Notamacropus eugenii: one gene and its partner. The protein of the gene in region 1 purifies or fractionates together with the protein of each later gene. This does not show direct contact. Links are inferred from orthologs where the notes say so. Each region holds a gene or a part of one and is shown on either strand. Other genes may lie near its edges.

Evidence for each region. The genes of interacting proteins can lie anywhere in the genome.
Region 2: the proteins of CSK (region 1) and TNS3 purify together in Homo sapiens (affinity purification with mass spectrometry; 4 studies listed by BioGRID and IntAct, with this or other methods). This does not show direct contact. The link is inferred for Notamacropus eugenii from reciprocal best matches to the Homo sapiens genes CSK and TNS3.

What each region holds. Positions count from the first base shown.
Region 1 is NC_092872.1:241,312,002-241,320,071, reverse strand, and holds the start of CSK (tyrosine-protein kinase CSK), read left to right. Parts: upstream 1-4,976; 5' UTR 4,977-5,565; intron 5,566-7,768; 5' UTR 7,769-7,968; intron 7,969-8,070. UniProt on the Homo sapiens protein: Non-receptor tyrosine-protein kinase that plays an important role in the regulation of cell growth, differentiation, migration and immune response.
Region 2 is NC_092874.1:409,896,744-409,904,839, reverse strand, and holds the start of TNS3 (tensin-3), read left to right. Parts: upstream 1-5,070; 5' UTR 5,071-5,270; coding exon 5,271-5,372; intron 5,373-8,096. UniProt on the Homo sapiens protein: May act as a protein phosphatase and/or a lipid phosphatase. Involved in the dissociation of the integrin-tensin-actin complex. EGF activates TNS4 and down-regulates TNS3 which results in capping the tail of ITGB1.

The sequences.
Region 1 (8,070 bases):
AGCCCTCTCCCCAACCCCTGCAATACCTTTTTGTCAACACACACACACACACACACACACACACACACACACACACACACACACACACACACTCATATTCATTCTCTCCTTTTCTCTCTCTCTCTCTCACACTCACACACATATTCATTCTCTCCCTTTGTCTCTCTCTCTCTCTCTCTCTCTCCTCCTCTCTCTCTCTGTCCCTTTCTCTCTCTCTCTCTGAGATCCAGTGACAGTGGCCTCCTTTTTGGTCCAGAACAAGACATTCCATCTCCCAACAATCTATGTCTCCTAGCTTCTTTTAAGTACCAGATAAAAATCCCACTTTCCACAGGAAGACTTTTCAGACTTCTCCTCTCCCTTTAATCCAGGGCCTTCCCTGTCGATAATATCCAATTTGTCCTTGAGAGCAGACACTGTCTTTTACCTTTCTTTGTCTCTCCAGTGCTTAGCATGGTGCCTGGTGATTAGTAGGCACTTAATAAATCTGGAAAGTACAAAAAAGACCTGTATGAACTGAGACACAGAGTGAGCGACAACCATGAAAGCCCTAAAAACTGTGAACACCACAACGATCGACCACGTTTCAGGAGACCAACCAAGCTACCACCTTTGGAGGGCATGGGAGTGGGGAATGGATTCTGGTCGCAAATGGCAACATCTATTTTTTGGACAAAGTAGGAATTTCTTTTGCTTGATTACGCACATCTGTGACAAAAGTTTTGCCTTTGTTTTCTGTCAGGGAGGAGTGGATTTTTGTTCATTAAAAGTTTTCAATAAAAAATAGAAAAATAAAGTGTGACACACCATGTACATCTGAAATCAGTCAGCAAGGCTTTATTAAGGACTTCCCATGTGCTTGGCCCTGGGGAGACAAATGTCAAGAATGAACGAGCCCCCAAACAGAAAATGAAAAAACGAAAAAGAGATGGAAAAGGCACTGCCATTATAACAAGGCAGGAGGATAAGAAATAGTTCACATTCATATAGCCAACATTTATATGGTACTTCCTTTATAGCAACACCATGAGGAAAGCAGCAGCATTACCTTCAATTTCCAGAAAGGGAAACTGAGCCACAGAAAGGTTAAAGTGACTCACCCAGGGTCACACAGTGTTGAAAACCGTCCTCTAACTCTGCTCTGACTCATTATTATTTTCTGACAAATTAGCATCAGCTCGGGTGCCCAGTGGCTACTTTGTGGAAGAGGGACAGGGACAGTGAGCCAGGGAATATAAACTAGGCACAGTGCTGGGCCCTCCCTGGATTGGCCAAGGCTAGTTTTGTTTGGAGCCCAGGAGAGGGGAGAATTCAGAACTCTTTTTCCCCCCAAAATTTATTAATTTATTTGTTTTCAGTTTTCAACATTCATTTCCATAAGTTTAAAATTTTTCTCCCCCTCCCTCCCCAAGACAGCATGCAATCATATATGGGCTCTACACATACGTTCCCATTAAACACATTTTCACATTAGTCATGTTGCATAAAAGAATTATAGCTAATGGGAGAAACCATTAGCTATAATTCTTCTATGAGAATTCAGTACTCTTGAAGGACATTTGTCTATCATCTTCCATATCTATTCCTTTCACCTAGTATTTAGAGTGTTTCACTCTTCTCTTCTCCCTCCATTTCTCTCCCCCTCCCTCCCTTTTCCTTTCCTCTCCCCCCTCTCTCTACCCCTTTCTTTTCCCCTTCCCCTCCCCCAATATCGGTTGGTAGTCTCTCTCAGACTAGGTCTTCCCCCATCAATCCCAGGGCCTCAGTGCTAACCCCACCGTAAGGAATCCAGGAGACAGGTGGCTTTGGTGAATATTCTTTCCTCCTGTTACTCAGAATCCTTTGCTGAGGAAATGCAAGGATTCCTTGGGGTCCAGTTTCCTGCTTCACTTCTACTTTAAAGATCGAAATTTCAGTTCAACTGCTGATAACCAGGTTACTAGAGAGCTGCTTGACCTTGAGCAATTCATTTGGGAACTCCTCATCTCCAAAATGCAGGATTAAAAGACCTCTGAGGCTCAGTGGGGTACAGCACAATGTTGTGGCTCTGTTCCTTACTACCTGGGTAATTTGAGGAAAGTCATAATCTCCCAGCCTCAGTTTCCCCAGCTGTAAGTAAAGGAGTTGTGCTTCTAAGGGTCTTTGGAACTGTAGCTCTATGATTCTATCCTGGTTCTAATTCTCATCCCACAGACTAAGAAATGCTGAAGGGGTTGATTGTGGGAAAAGTCTAAGAAGCCCTGATGTAGATCCTATTCTGGGATGTTGCTGGGAATACCAAGGAAATGTCAGAAGACTCACTACCTGTTGTTGGGATTGCTGTTGGGGTTTTTGAAGGCCTTTATGGTTATTTAACTTTGCTTTCATTGATTATCTTCATATTTATCCTATATATACAGGTAGATACAGATTTGTATATGTATAAACACATACTTGTTTTCTCTCCAATTAGAATGTGGAAGGTACTTGAAAGAAGGGATGGTTTCATCCTTTGTCTTTCTATCCCCAACACCCTAACACAGTGCCAGGCACATCGGGTACCCTTAATAAAGACTTGTTCACTGACTAGTACAAAGCACTGTGCTCAGTGCTGGCAAAATAAAGATGAAAAATGATCCCAACAAATTCAGAGTTTGTAATCTATGAAATGCACCAGGTAGGTAAAGGAGAATAACACAAAGACAGAATGTGAATGGCACAGGGCAGCTAAGTGGCCCAGTGGGTAGTTGAGTCAGGAGGACCCAAGTTCAAATCCAGCCTCAGACACTTGACACTTATTAGCTGTGTGACCCTGGGCAAGTCACTTAACTCCAATTGCCTCCCTACCCTGACCCTGCCAAAAGAAAACAACAGAAAGTGAGTGGGACCAAGGCAAAATTCAGACCAAGTGCTTTAGGAAAATCTGAAGTTTGAGATCACCTTTAGTTGAGGGGAAATACAGAAGGGCCTCCTGGCAGAGGAAGCCCCTGAGCTGAGCCTTGAAGAAAGAGGCAGGGAGGTTCCAATTAGCCTGCACTAAATCAGGAAACAGCAGGACCAAAATCAGAGCTAATCATCAGTTTGTTGAGAAAGGAGAATGTGTGAAAGAGAATATTGAGAAAATCAGTCTAGAAAGGTAGGATGGAAACAGGAGACTGTGGTGACAAAGAGCCAAAGGTTTTAGAAAAAGGGAGTAACTCCTCAAATCTACATAAAAGGATGGTTACTATGACAACAGTTTGAAGGGCAGGGTTGATGTCCATCTTGACTCCTGGAGTCTCTAAGCTGTCATTATTTTAAAACTTTTTTTGAGCCAATTGGGGTTAAGTGACTTGGCCAGGGTCACACAGCTGGTAAGTTTGAGTCCTCCTGACTCCAAGGCCAATGCTCTATCCACTGGGTCACCTAGCTGTCCCAAGATGTCTTCTTAAGAGCAGGCAGGGAAAAAGTCTTCTAGATCAGGGCTTCTTAAACTTTTTCCACTCTTGACCCCTTCAGCATTTCTTAAACTGTGGGTCGAGAAAATGGTAGGGCTACCTTCCTCCAGACTATGGGGGAGAAAGGAGAAGACCCCTTTTCTCTCCATAAAGTCTGGTGACCCTACAGCTTATTAAAGGCCAGGGAACCCATCCCTCCAAGAACCCTTAAGTTTATTTACACTGGGTGTAAATAAATCCTCCTCCAAACATATTGTACCATTCCTGTTCACTCTGACCTTTCTAGGGATCCAGGGTATCTAGTTCTTTGTGGCTACCCCTGGCTTCCTTCAAGTCTCAACTAAAGTCCTACCTTCAGCAAGAAGCCTCTCTTAAGGATCCTCAATCTTTGCACAATCCCTTCCATGATTATGGCCAACTTATCCTGTCTAGTCTGTTACAAGTGTGTGAATCTCCTTTCCCCCAAGTGAACCAGAGAATCTTAGGGTGTGGAGGTTTGGGAGTCATCTAGAGAAATTCACCCCTGAAGGAGAATCTTTTCTAGGACATACTGGACAAATGGTCAGCCAGCCTCTGCTTGAAGACACCCCAGTGAGGGGAAATCAACTGCCCTCTCCCCAAGGCTGCCCATTTTGCTTCTTAATTGCTCTAATCGTTGGGGAGAAGCTTCTCTTCTTTCTAACAACTCCTCATTGCTCCTGGTTTGGGCACAAAGCTAGTGTCCCTTCCACCGGACCACCCACCACAGACCGCTTAGTTTGGCAGTGAAGCCTGTGAGTCCCTTGAAAGAAGGAGCTGTCTTCTACCTTCCTTTACCCTGCCAGGCTTAGCACGGTACTGGCACACAGCAGACACACACACACTCGAACTCACTCTCACACACACAGCACGCACACACTCACACTCACATACACAGCACACACACACACTCACAGCGCACGCACACACACACAGACACACACACACACACACAGAGCACGCGCGTGCACACACACTCACACACACACACACACACACACACACACACACACACACACACACACACTCGGTTACACCAGTAAGGGCTCTGACCATGTACACTTGACCTCTAGACCTTGATCCTCGGGCTATTCCAGTCCTGTCCCGGGGTGCCGTCAGGCCGTGCGCTCGCACTGATCACAAAGTGACGAAGAGCTCCCCGCCCTGCCCCCGGCCGGCCCGGAGTTCTGAGGGAGCCGTCTGGACTGCGCCCACCGGTGCCCACTCACCACTTTGCAGGCGAAGGGCGGCGAGCGGGTCACTGTCTCGGGCTTCCAACTCCGCGCCCACCTGCCGGGATGAGCGACCCCCGACTTCAGGCGTCCGGCTGCCATTGGGTCGGCGGCCAAGATGTGAGGCTCGGGACGCGGGGACCTGGACACACCCCCATGCGATGCCCGTGGCCTCCAGTAGGTGGCGCAGCCTCCCCGCTCGCGCCCGGTCCGCGAGCGGGTCCAGCCCATTTGGCGCAGGCGCGCTGCTACAGGCGGATGGATCCAGGCTCCGCTTCCTCCGGCCAGGCCTGCGAGCTTCCTTCCAGCTGAGCCGGAGAGGGCCTGGGGAGGGGGCGGCCCCCGCAGCAGAGGACGCGCGCGCGCGCCGCCAGTCTTCCCCCCCCTCCCCGCCCCGCCCCGCCCCGCCCCTCCCGCCGCGCTCCCGGGGTGGGGGCAGCCGCCGCCGGCCTCCAGTCCGGCCGGGAGCCGTCGGGTCCGTTCCTCCGTCCAGCCCGCTTCCAGCCCGGGCCGCCGGTGCCGGGGGGGCTGGGACGCCGGGGCCCGCCCCGCTCCAGAGCCAAACGTCGCGTGTCTGGGCTGCCCAGGCGGCCCGCGCTACGTCCCCACCTCAAGGCTCGGCGGCGGCGTTCGGAAGCGGAACTCTCCCGGGGCCGCGGCGGCTACATTGTTTCCTCCTCCCTCCCCGACCCGGGCCGAGCGGTGCTCCCCGGCCCAGCCTCTCGCTGCCCTCTTCCCGCTCCTTCTCTCCTCCCCCCTCCCCCCGCTCCTTTGGACCCCTCCCACCAGGGCGCCCCCCCGCCCCCCGCCTCCACCCAGCCCCCGGCCACATGGACTGTCCCGCAGCCCACTGATGTCGCCGGCGGCTAAGTGGATCGGACCGCAGCGCTCGGAGAGAGGTGAGTGAGTGCCCGGCGTTCGGGGCCCTGGCCGCGGCGGCCCGAGCTGGGTGGAGATCGCCAGCCCCGGAACCTACTGGTCCTTGGCCGGCTCCCGCCCTCCCCGCGGCCGCTCCCCTCCCCCACCCGAGCTCCGACGGGTTTGAATTCTCCCGGGAGTTGCTGTCACGGTGTAGACCCGGGCAATAAGCCGTCCTCCGAGATGGGTCCCGGGCCCGTGGGGCAGGCGAGCCCAGTGCCAAGTTGGTGGGTCCTCACCGCCCCGGGGCCTACCGGGGGGTTCGAGTGGGGTCTGCGTGGGGGACTGGAAAAAACTCCACTCCTTAAGAGGTTCTGACTAAATCCTCGCCAGCCCTTTATCTTCCTCCACCCAAGAGCTCGGAGCCTCAGTCCCGGCTTTGGAGGGGCAAGGATGGGGCGGGGACCCAGGATAATGCCAGCCTTCCCTTAGTGGGACTGTGCAGGACGGGCATGTGGCTGATGGAGGAGGAATTAAGCTTCCAACATGGGGTGGGGTCAGACTGGACCAAGGTGGGGGTGTGTGGAAAGAGAAGCCATTTCATTGTCTCTGGGGGTTTGCCAGCACTGCCCCAAGCTCTATCTTCTCCTCCCCTTCCATTCTCCCCCCCACCCCACCCCCATTCCCACCCTCTACGCTGTAACCGTGCAACCTGCTGACGGAGCCTGAAGCCTGACAACAGGGCTGCTCACGCCGGCCTGTGCACAATGCTCCTGGTTCCCCAACCCATGCTTTAGGACTCAGGCTCAGACACCCGACTTTGGGCTACTTGTACCCAGGACAGGATTTCGGAGGATTAGTTTCCTCGATTTGACTCCCACTGAAGAGGTTGAAATACCCTCTCTGGATGGGACTGCTCCTTCTAGCCCGCCATCCCCAGATTGCATCCTTGGGTAGCCAGGGAGAGCAGCCTTGGAAACAAAGCCCCCTGTACCACCTAGAGGGAGCTGGTCTTGCACATGTGAATTGCATCTTTCCCCTTCCCCGCCCCACTCTGCCTGGACACCTAGGCCTGTGTTAGACATCCAGGATTGGAGTCATCGAATTAAGGCAAAAGGAACCTAGAGAACATTTAGACCAATCTCTTTTATTTTACTTTGGGGCAAAGTGAGGCATGGAAAAGAAAAGGGGTTTGCCCAAAGTTAGGGTCATAGAATTTAAAACTGGAAACAAGTTTATTTAGAGGTAGTCTAGTCCTTGTTCCTCATTTTACAGATGAGGAAACCGAGGCCCAGAAGTGACTCGGCCATAGTCACACATTAAATTACTTCCTGACACTGGGAGAGGTGGAGCAACTAATAGAAACCAAAACTGTTCCTTGAGCAGGCGGTAGCCAAGACAGACTGAGCCAGGCCCTGAGAGGCTTAACATGTGCTCAGCTGGGCTGCAGATCTAGGCATCTGGAGAAGAGAGGTTTGGAGAAAGTACCCAGCTGGCAGGTTTATGGCTCAGAGTGGGGTACTGGCCCTGGGGCATCCCTCCCCCAGGCTTGCTTCCTCTTATTGGGGTCCTGGGCTCTGAAGTCTCAGCTGCTTTGGGGACTCAGACCTTGTCTTTCTATCTTCAAAGCAACCATCCTGTCAGCTATGATTAAAATTTAATGTGTGGAGTGGGGAGTGATTAGAGCTTTTGATTTTTTTTTTTTTTTGGAGGGAGGTGGTAACTACTGAGGTAACTTGGTGTCCTTGGCTTTCCTTGGAGAGAGCTTTGCCCATATGAGTTACCCATAGACCTGGTTGTGCTGGGTAAGAATTCTTCATGTTCAGGGATACAGAAGGTAACTAGCAGAACAGGAAGGGTGATGTGGCTAACTAGGGACTCATATGTTCAGAAGCCCCACATTTCATCTTCCTCCTTTCTCTTTGATTTGGGATGGTAAGGGGAGCCAGGAAACTTGGCAGGGAACGGGGGGAGATCCTAACTTTCTAGCTGAATGTCATCTTTATGCCTGATTGGTCACTAAGGTGGCTTCTACCCCCAGAGGCATACTGCCTTGTACCATTGCCATGACCACCTCAGAGTACCTGAATTCCAGGGTCTGATAGCAGAGTCAGAGAAACACTTGGAAATTTCCTTGGCAAGGAAACTGTCTCTAAGGAGAGAATTGGGGTAGTGGGGGGGAAAGGGATGTGGGGCACCTATCTCTTAAAAGCTTTTTGACCTCATCTCTGGTGTGTGTCGCAGGAAGAAGAAACATTATTGAGGCATAGTTTAGAGGTGTCCAGACTCGGTTCCTTTAGCACAGAGCCAAGGGTCAGCCTTTGCCTTCCTTGGAGGCTGATTCCCACGAGCTGGTTCCAGCCACACTTTCTCCCTCAAAGGAGAGTTGGGGAGAGTCCAGTATCCAAGCTCAAAGTCATTTAAATCCCTCACTCCCAGTTCTTGTGAGTATTCCGTATGACTCTCCTCCCCTTCCTCATCTTTCAAAATAATGGCTGGAAGCCTCCATAAAACTGTGTTCCTACCCCTCCTTTTCTTAGTGGCCA
Region 2 (8,096 bases), on another chromosome or scaffold:
TCTCTCTCTTTCTCTCTCTCTCTCTCTCTCCCTCTCTCTCCCCCTCTCTCCTTCTCTCTTCTCTCCCTCTCTGGTCCCTCCAAGAATCTATTTGTCCTCAATTCAGATACACTCAAGTAATTTCATCAATGTGTAAACTCTTAGCTTTTGGGTCTGTTTTTTAAGTCTAGAATTTTGTTTTATTTGCACGAACAGTCCTATTTCATTGTCTTTCGCTTCTTGGGGGCCTTGGGCTGAGATGTTGGAGGGTGCATCTTTAGGAGTTGGAGGTGGAGTGTAAGGTGAGATGGTAACAAGGATTAAAGTAATTTGTTTTCCATTCATCCTAAGAGGGGAAAGAAACTTGAGTAGTGCAAATGAAATAGTCTTCCAAGTATGAAAGTAAAGGCTTAGAAAATAATTATGTAACAAGAAGAGCTCAAAACAACACAAACTTACACATATTGTTCAATAAGAAATAGTTTCTTTCCTCCAGCTTATTTTAAATATATAACCTTAGTAAGATGGTATCTCATATGCATTGGTGACTGAAAAAGACTACAATTTGTATTGACTGTTGGGGAAAGGGCTCCCTTCTTCTTATTTGGAAAAATCCTAGTTCTTAATCACACTGAACAAAGGTAGAAAGTGGTCTTTGGGCTTTAACAAATTGTTGAAGATCATCCCTCAGTTAGAGGAGGATATCAGAAACCTGGACAGTCCACATCAACCTAAGGAGCCACACAAACACTCCATATATATGGATTTCAGATCCTTGACTTTCTTAAGCTCATGGTGGCAAATAGGTCACTTTCTAAATGATTCATGTCATTCAGAGAAGGGCAACTTTGGCATAGTGGAGCTATGAACCAGAAGTAGGAAGATATAGGTTTGAATCCACTTAATACCTGTGTGACCTTGGGCAAGTTAGCAAACCACTTTTAACTTCGGTATCCCCATCTATAAAATAGGAATCATCCTTTTTGCACAGTAGAGGTAGATTTGAACAAGAGCTACCCTGACTACTGCTCAAACAGTGTTCCTATCTTCATTCCTGTCTCCCTCATGCTTGGAATGTTCTCCCTCTTTACCTCCTTCTTCCCTGGTTCTCATCAAAACTCAGCTCAAACCCTTCCTTCTGCAGGAAGCCTTTCCTATTCCCCTTCTTTCCTCCCACTCCCTACTTTTTCTTGGAGATGATCTCCAATTTATCCAGTCAAAATCTTGTTTTTACACAGTGGTTTCCTTACTGTCTCATCTATCAGGATTTGGACTCATTGAAGACAGGGACCATGTTTTTGTCTTCTTTTGTACTCCCAGCACCTATCTCAGTGTCTGGTACATAACAAGTCCTTAATGAATGTTTGCTGATTGACAATCTGACTGACTGACTAGATTTAGAGTCAGGAAGACCTGAGTGCCAAATCCATCTCTGACACTTTTTAGCTATATGATCAAAGGCAGCCCACTTAATCTCTTTTTATCTCAAACATCTCCCTAGGACTTCTCACATTGCTAAGGACTATGATACATCATAAACTACTGAGGGGAGGGGTCCCACACTATAGGATGGAAATGTCAAGCAGGCAGCCTTCTCAGTTGGTATGCTGCTCCCAGTGTAACCCAAACCTGATAAAAATATAATAAGCAAATACATAGCAAAATAGATAAAAATATAATAAAATACAGATAATATTGTATTTTAAAACTAAGTTAATATGCATCCCTTAAGGATCCTTATGCATGGTTTAGTGGTCCAGTTTCTTTTTAAATTTGACACTACTACTGTAGAAAATATGAATCCTTCTTGTGGTCTACTAATACATGAACTATCCATCTCATGGGACTGTTGTGAGAAATATACTTTGTAAACAACTATGCACCCACATGTGTACACACCAATGTGCATATATGCTATATATTCTCATATGCATAGTTATATAGTTACATATGTGTGAGAAAACATAGAATTTTAATACTAGAAAGGATGTTTGAACTAGTCTAGTCCATCCCCCTCAGTTTACCAATGTCTCAGTTTCCCCAGTGGGGAAACTAAAGGCCCAGAAAGAGTGAGTCTTAACCTGGGGTAACAGAGCTAACTAGCTAAAGGTGAAGCCAGTACTGGACTCTTCAATCTCCAAAAGTCTACAGTTCTTTCTCACTCCATTTCACTGAAGCTTCTCAGGAAAAAAAAAAAAAAAGGTGATGACAATCCAAGTCCTTTTAACCACCCCAAGTTTCTCCCTTGAATCAAAAACTCGGTTTTAATGTCATAATTCTTCCAGTGTCTTTCTATGGTTTTGAATCACAGAACCTACAGTCTCTGAAGAACTGAAATGGAGAATTACCCAAAGACAATAGAGAATGAACAAATCACAGCATGTTCCAGACAAGAAATTACAAAGCAGAGGCAGAGGAAAGGACATTGTCCAAGAAATGTAGGAGAAAAAAAGATGAACTTTTCAATTGCCAAAAAGTGAGGGCTAACCATATGCCTGCCCATGAACCCCATTGGTATTACAAAGTCAAGGGAAAGCAAGGAAGACTCTCACCACACTTATGGAGGTCATTGGATAATACATTAGATTTTTCTAACATTCTGTATGCTGAGAAGGACCCCATTTAAGTTGGGAAGTGGACCCAGATATGGAAAATGAGAGTTAGTTGGTGATCTGATTATCTGACCAATTATGAAGCAGAGTGGAATGTGCTCAACAGTTTCCTTTAAATAGATGACACCTATCAAGACATAGACAAGAGTGGAACAGGCTGGACAGACAAGGATGGCTTGCTACCTGCACCACTAGCAGGAATGTCCAACTTGACAACATCATAGATCCTTTAAAGTGTTTGAGTGTCCAGTATACCCGGAAATCATTTCAGAAGAGCAGCCTTTTGATGTTATACATTTTCCCCTTAAAAATGTAAGCCCATTGGAATGCTAGACCTGGTATCTTGTATAAGACGTCACCACTACCATTTGACTTGATCCTTTCTAGAGGAGAGAAAATAAAGCTGATTAAGGTATTCTGGTAGTGAAGTGCACTAGCTTAGATGGATTAATGGGCAAACTGTTGGCTGTTAGAGCAGTAGGAAAAAGTTATTTACTAAATTATACCCTGATGCCCTGAACAAGTTCATTCACATCTCATGGATAAGCAGTTTACTACCTAAGTGTAATTCATTCATATTGTTTGCCAAAGGGGTAGAGCCCTCTCAATGAGTGGTCAGGAGCCAGTGAGATTTCCATTTCATGAAACCTCACCATCCATCCTGAGGAATTTGACTTATGTCTTGAAACAGGGATATCAAATATATAGTAAAAAAAAAATCTCATATGGTCCTTTAATTTTCTGCAGAAACCTGAAGTTTCTTTTCTTTAAAAAAGATAGAACAAGATTAACTGGGGACATTAATTTTTCTTTTTTAAAAAATAAGTCTATTTTGTCCTATCTAAACTGAAATAAACAATAAAAACATACTGTAATATGTAAAGTTGGTCCTTTTCTACTGAGCTGTTTGCTTTTCTAAATTCATATGGCATATGTGCATTTCTTATATGGAGGAGATTAGGGATGGTAAATAAACTCGAGTGTAGAAGTTTTCATTAATTTCTCCCAACTTCACACTTTAAAAACGCGGGCTTAGGACCATTTTTCAAATCAGCCTCTCTGACTTTGCCCTCCTTCCAGCAGTGCCTGACCTGGCAGTAAAACTTCTGTGAGATTTCCATGTCTGTAAATGGAGCATTGAGGCTAAAGTAACCAGGGCTGCTTGCTTTGTTGGGCGCCCGCTTTGCTTTCACTGTATAAATCATCCCTAAACCAGCTGCAGGGTCGTTTACAATTGTGTGGTTCACTCACAGTCAAGCAAGGAGCCCCAAGGAGGGAATTCTAGCAGTAGGAGGAAGCTGTGAATACAGGTGGCAAAGAGTTTTCTTTTTCCAAAGACAAAACAAATACCCAAACCACGCTGTTTTGTGGCAGGACCACTCAAACCCCTCACTGTCTCTGAACCCTTTTTGGCAAGGAGGGAAGAGAGTTAGCTCATGTCACTTAAGGGAAGTGACAAGTTTTGCTCCATAATATGTGTCTAACTAATGATTTAGTCACCTTACAAATCTCCAAGTGCAAAGATAAAAGCATTTTTTTTTTACTTCTGAAGGCATAATTAAGTATCAACTGTCTTAGAAAGGTTTTTTTTTTTTCAAAAGTATATTCCAACCCCCTTCCCCTGTCCCCATCACTTCTCCCCAGAAAATTAATTGTGCAGAGTTGAAACCTTAAACACTAATGTTCGGCTTAAAGCCAATTTTTCCCCCAAATGATTTCAAAGAAGGGATTTTGAACAGCTAAAACTAACAGGCTCTTCAAGTCGGCTGGTACTGGCTGCTAGCTGGAGCTGCTGTAATATGAACAGTCCCCCATAATGCCTTTGAAACAGTCATTAGTCTCCAGCATCATTTTGCAGCTCTGAAAGCTAAGTTATGTGGAAGGAGGGGGGATGAAAATCAAAGGGGGATTACAGGCACAGAATGACAGCACAAAGAAACAGGAAATTCCTCCAAAATGCTTTCCACTCCTGAAATTCGGCTTTCAAAGTCATCCTGATTGAGTTGGCTTCAAATAGTCATTATTTGCTCTCGAATTAGGCGGGCATTATCAGTGTGCCTCAGTGACAGATTGCTGGATAGCTCTTTCGTCCTTTCTGCAAAGGCAGCCCAGCCTCCGCCTCCCTCCCTCCCTCCCCACCCTACTCCAAAGAGTGCCGTCCAAATTATTAGTTTCCTTATTATTGTATCCATACCATTCAGTGATCCCCAAACCCTCCCACCAGGAGAGGAAAGGCTAAGTTTCCCCCTAGCTGGAGCTGAGACTTTAGACAGTGGCCTTCTTATGCGTTGTCTCAGTCTTTGAGGGGGCACAGTGTGGTCAGCATGGGATTCTGATAACAAAGGGTTAGGAGAGGGAGAGGAGGGGGGGGGGGGGGGGGGCTAGGCTGACAGATCGGTAGAAACAGCATCAGCTCCAAAGGGCTTCAACCTGCCCAGACGGAACTGGAACCTAAAGGTTAAGCATTGGCAGGCTGAGGCTTGTATTTCCATGCTGCCTGTCACGAGAGGCTGGCAGGTTGGAGCAACTGTGTGCTGAGTGGGGCTGAAGGCTAGGAGAGCTGCCCTGGGAGGAGTTCAGCCAGGAGAAGGCAGAGATGAGGGCTCAGACTCTGGTGTCCTGAGTTGGAGGGGAGAGACCACAAGCAGATTGAGGCTGCTCTGAGATTGGAGGGCTCTGATGGGCTGTTCGGTGAGTCTGGCCTGCCTGGAGGATGAGTTATGTACCGTACCTTTGGACCAGCCCATCCTGAGAGCAGATGAAGAGGTCATCATGATCCAGGTAGGGGTGTGTGTGTGTGTGTGTGTGTGTGTGTGTGTGTGTGTGTGTGTGTGTGTGTGTGTGTGTGTGTGTGTGTGTGTGTGTGTGTGTGTGTGTGTGTGTGTGTGTGTGTGTGTAAAGTAGTTACAGCAAGAAAATAAATCAAAATATAAGGGAAAAAAGGAGGACAGCTGCAGAAGGAAGACCTTCCTGGATTACAACAGCCAGGAAGGCACCCTCTGAGACTTGCTACTATTTCTCACTAAGCCTTCAGATACTAACTATTTAAGAAGGATTTTCACCGTTTGCATCATGAACTTGCCAGCTTTTATGATTGTAGGTGTCTTCCTGGTGTTTCTTTCTAAGTTGAACTAACTGAAAGCAAAAAGCCAGGAAGCAATGATTAAGCTTGAAATATAACTCAATTTAACAGTATGTATTTGGGGGTGAGCCTGAGCAGAGATTTTTTTTATGGTTGCTGGTCCCTATGATGCTATGACTGTCATGATGTGTTTTCTAGTTGTGTCCAAAGTAAAGTGTCCAAAGTCACAAAAGGGTGGTATTTATGAGAGAACCTATTGAGTAGATTATGGGACTGACTACATCCCTCTCCAGAAAGACAATCCCAAACTTCGCAAGCACAAGGGTCAAGAGAAGTAAATGCATAATGGGCTGGCCTATGTCCAGTTTTCTTCTTGCCCAGCAGAGAGCTACAGACAGCGGATGTGGGAAGACTCCTGAATATAACAGGGAATGATCAACAATGGCTTTCTCACCATCCCCCCCACCCCCACCCCCCTTGTCCTTTTAAAAATGTTTGAGTTGGCTTAAAGAAGCTTTAACAGCTCTTCTCTATTCTGGGGAACTGCTCTAAATGCATTCTTCCTTGCAGACTAGAAACTACTTTGAGCTGGAGAAGAAAGCATTCTTCTAATGGAGTTGTAGTGTTTTCCACTTTAAAATTATTTTGTGTCACACAAACAAGTAGGTTTAATTCAAAGTGTATTCCTATTTACTCAGTGGTGGGTTGGTTTGTCTTGGCTTTTCCATCTCTCTCTCTCTCTCTTTCTCTTTCTCTCCAAAAATTAGATTTTCATTCCATAAGTACCTTCAGAGTATATATATCTACTTTTAATATTAATGGCAAATTATAAATAAAGCTAATCTTAGGGAAAGAGATCTCTAGTATATCTACTAACTACTTGCCTACCATTAGTCTTTCGTATGTTTAGGGACACTAGAAGAATGTAAGTTCCCTGAGGGAAGGAATTATTTTCATTTTTTTCTGTGTATCTTCAGGGTCTAGCACAGTACATAAAATATTCGAGGCACTTAATAAATACAAGTTGAATTTAACTGAATTTTTAGAAGCAGAAGAGACTATAGAACTTTGTCTCAATATTTCTACTTGTGGATAAGTTCGAGGAAAAGTATCTTTACTTACCTTTTTCAACAAAGAAAACTAATTTCTATTAAAGCAGAAGTTAATAATCATCCAAGAGAACAGATAATGAGACATACTTTCCTCCTCTTGACAGAGAGGTGGGAATATATGAGCTCAAAATGTCTTTTCAGGCATGCTCACTGTATTAGTTGTTTGGACTTAACTCTTTTCCTTCATTGCAAGTAAGGGTTCAGTTGGCAGTGGGGTGGGGGTATATCCAGTAATGACAGCTATATAAAAACAAATGCAGCTGTTTTCTCCAAACAAAGTGAAAGTGACTTGGATAGAATGACCAGTTGCTTTGAGGGATTGAGGCAAGACAGGGACGTTGACACATTTAATGGAGCTATGAATTGGTATAACCATTCTGGAAAATCATTTGGAATTATGCGAAGAAATGATTAATATGACCAAACTCTGATCCAAAGATCCCACTGCTAAGTAGATACCCCAAAGAAATAAAAAATATAAAAAAAAGTTCCTACATTTGCCAAGATATTTATAACATTTTTTGTAGTAGCAAAGAGTTGGAAAAAAGTGACGCCCATCAGTTGGGGAATGGCTAAACAAATGGTAGTACATGACATAACAAAATTTTAGGTCACCTTCCTTTGTCAACACTGAAGTGTTTATTGATGATATAAAAGATAATGCAGAATAATGACCTGGAAGTAATCCAGAGACAGGTACTAAAGAGGCCTTTTTCACTGCAGCAAAAGCAAGTATTTAGAAATAAAAGTGTTCCCTTTGTCCCAGGTCAGCATTCAGATACACTAGTGAATTCCTTCTTTTAACTCAACTAGCTGCTATGAGGTAGACACAGCCCAAAGCCCCTGATCCCCACTCTGTCTTCTCAATCAGCCCTCTTCTTGTTAAAAATTCCTTTTTCCTGTCTATTCTCAGAAATCCAATTGTATCTTTCTAGACCTTTGATTAAAAGACACTTCTTTTTTAGACAGGGGGAGGGGAATTCATTCTAATGAGTGTCTGCAGCTGCAAAAGTGTCAAAATATTACAAGAAATGATGCCCTGGCAGTAGTTTTGAACTATCAAGCAACAGGCAGAACCAGAAATGCCAGTATGATTTCTACCCCAACTCAGCATATCAATGTGATTTGGATAGGCAGAAAACTGTCAAAGAAATAGCCAACCTTTGAGGGCTCACACTAAAGTCTGAGGATCTGAAATTTGTCCTTTTTGAAATGCTCATTGTATCGGTTATTCTGAAGTGGTGATTCCACAGCATCTTCTTCCTGTGCTAAAAGATGTACATCTATGCATACATATGTATATGTGTGTAT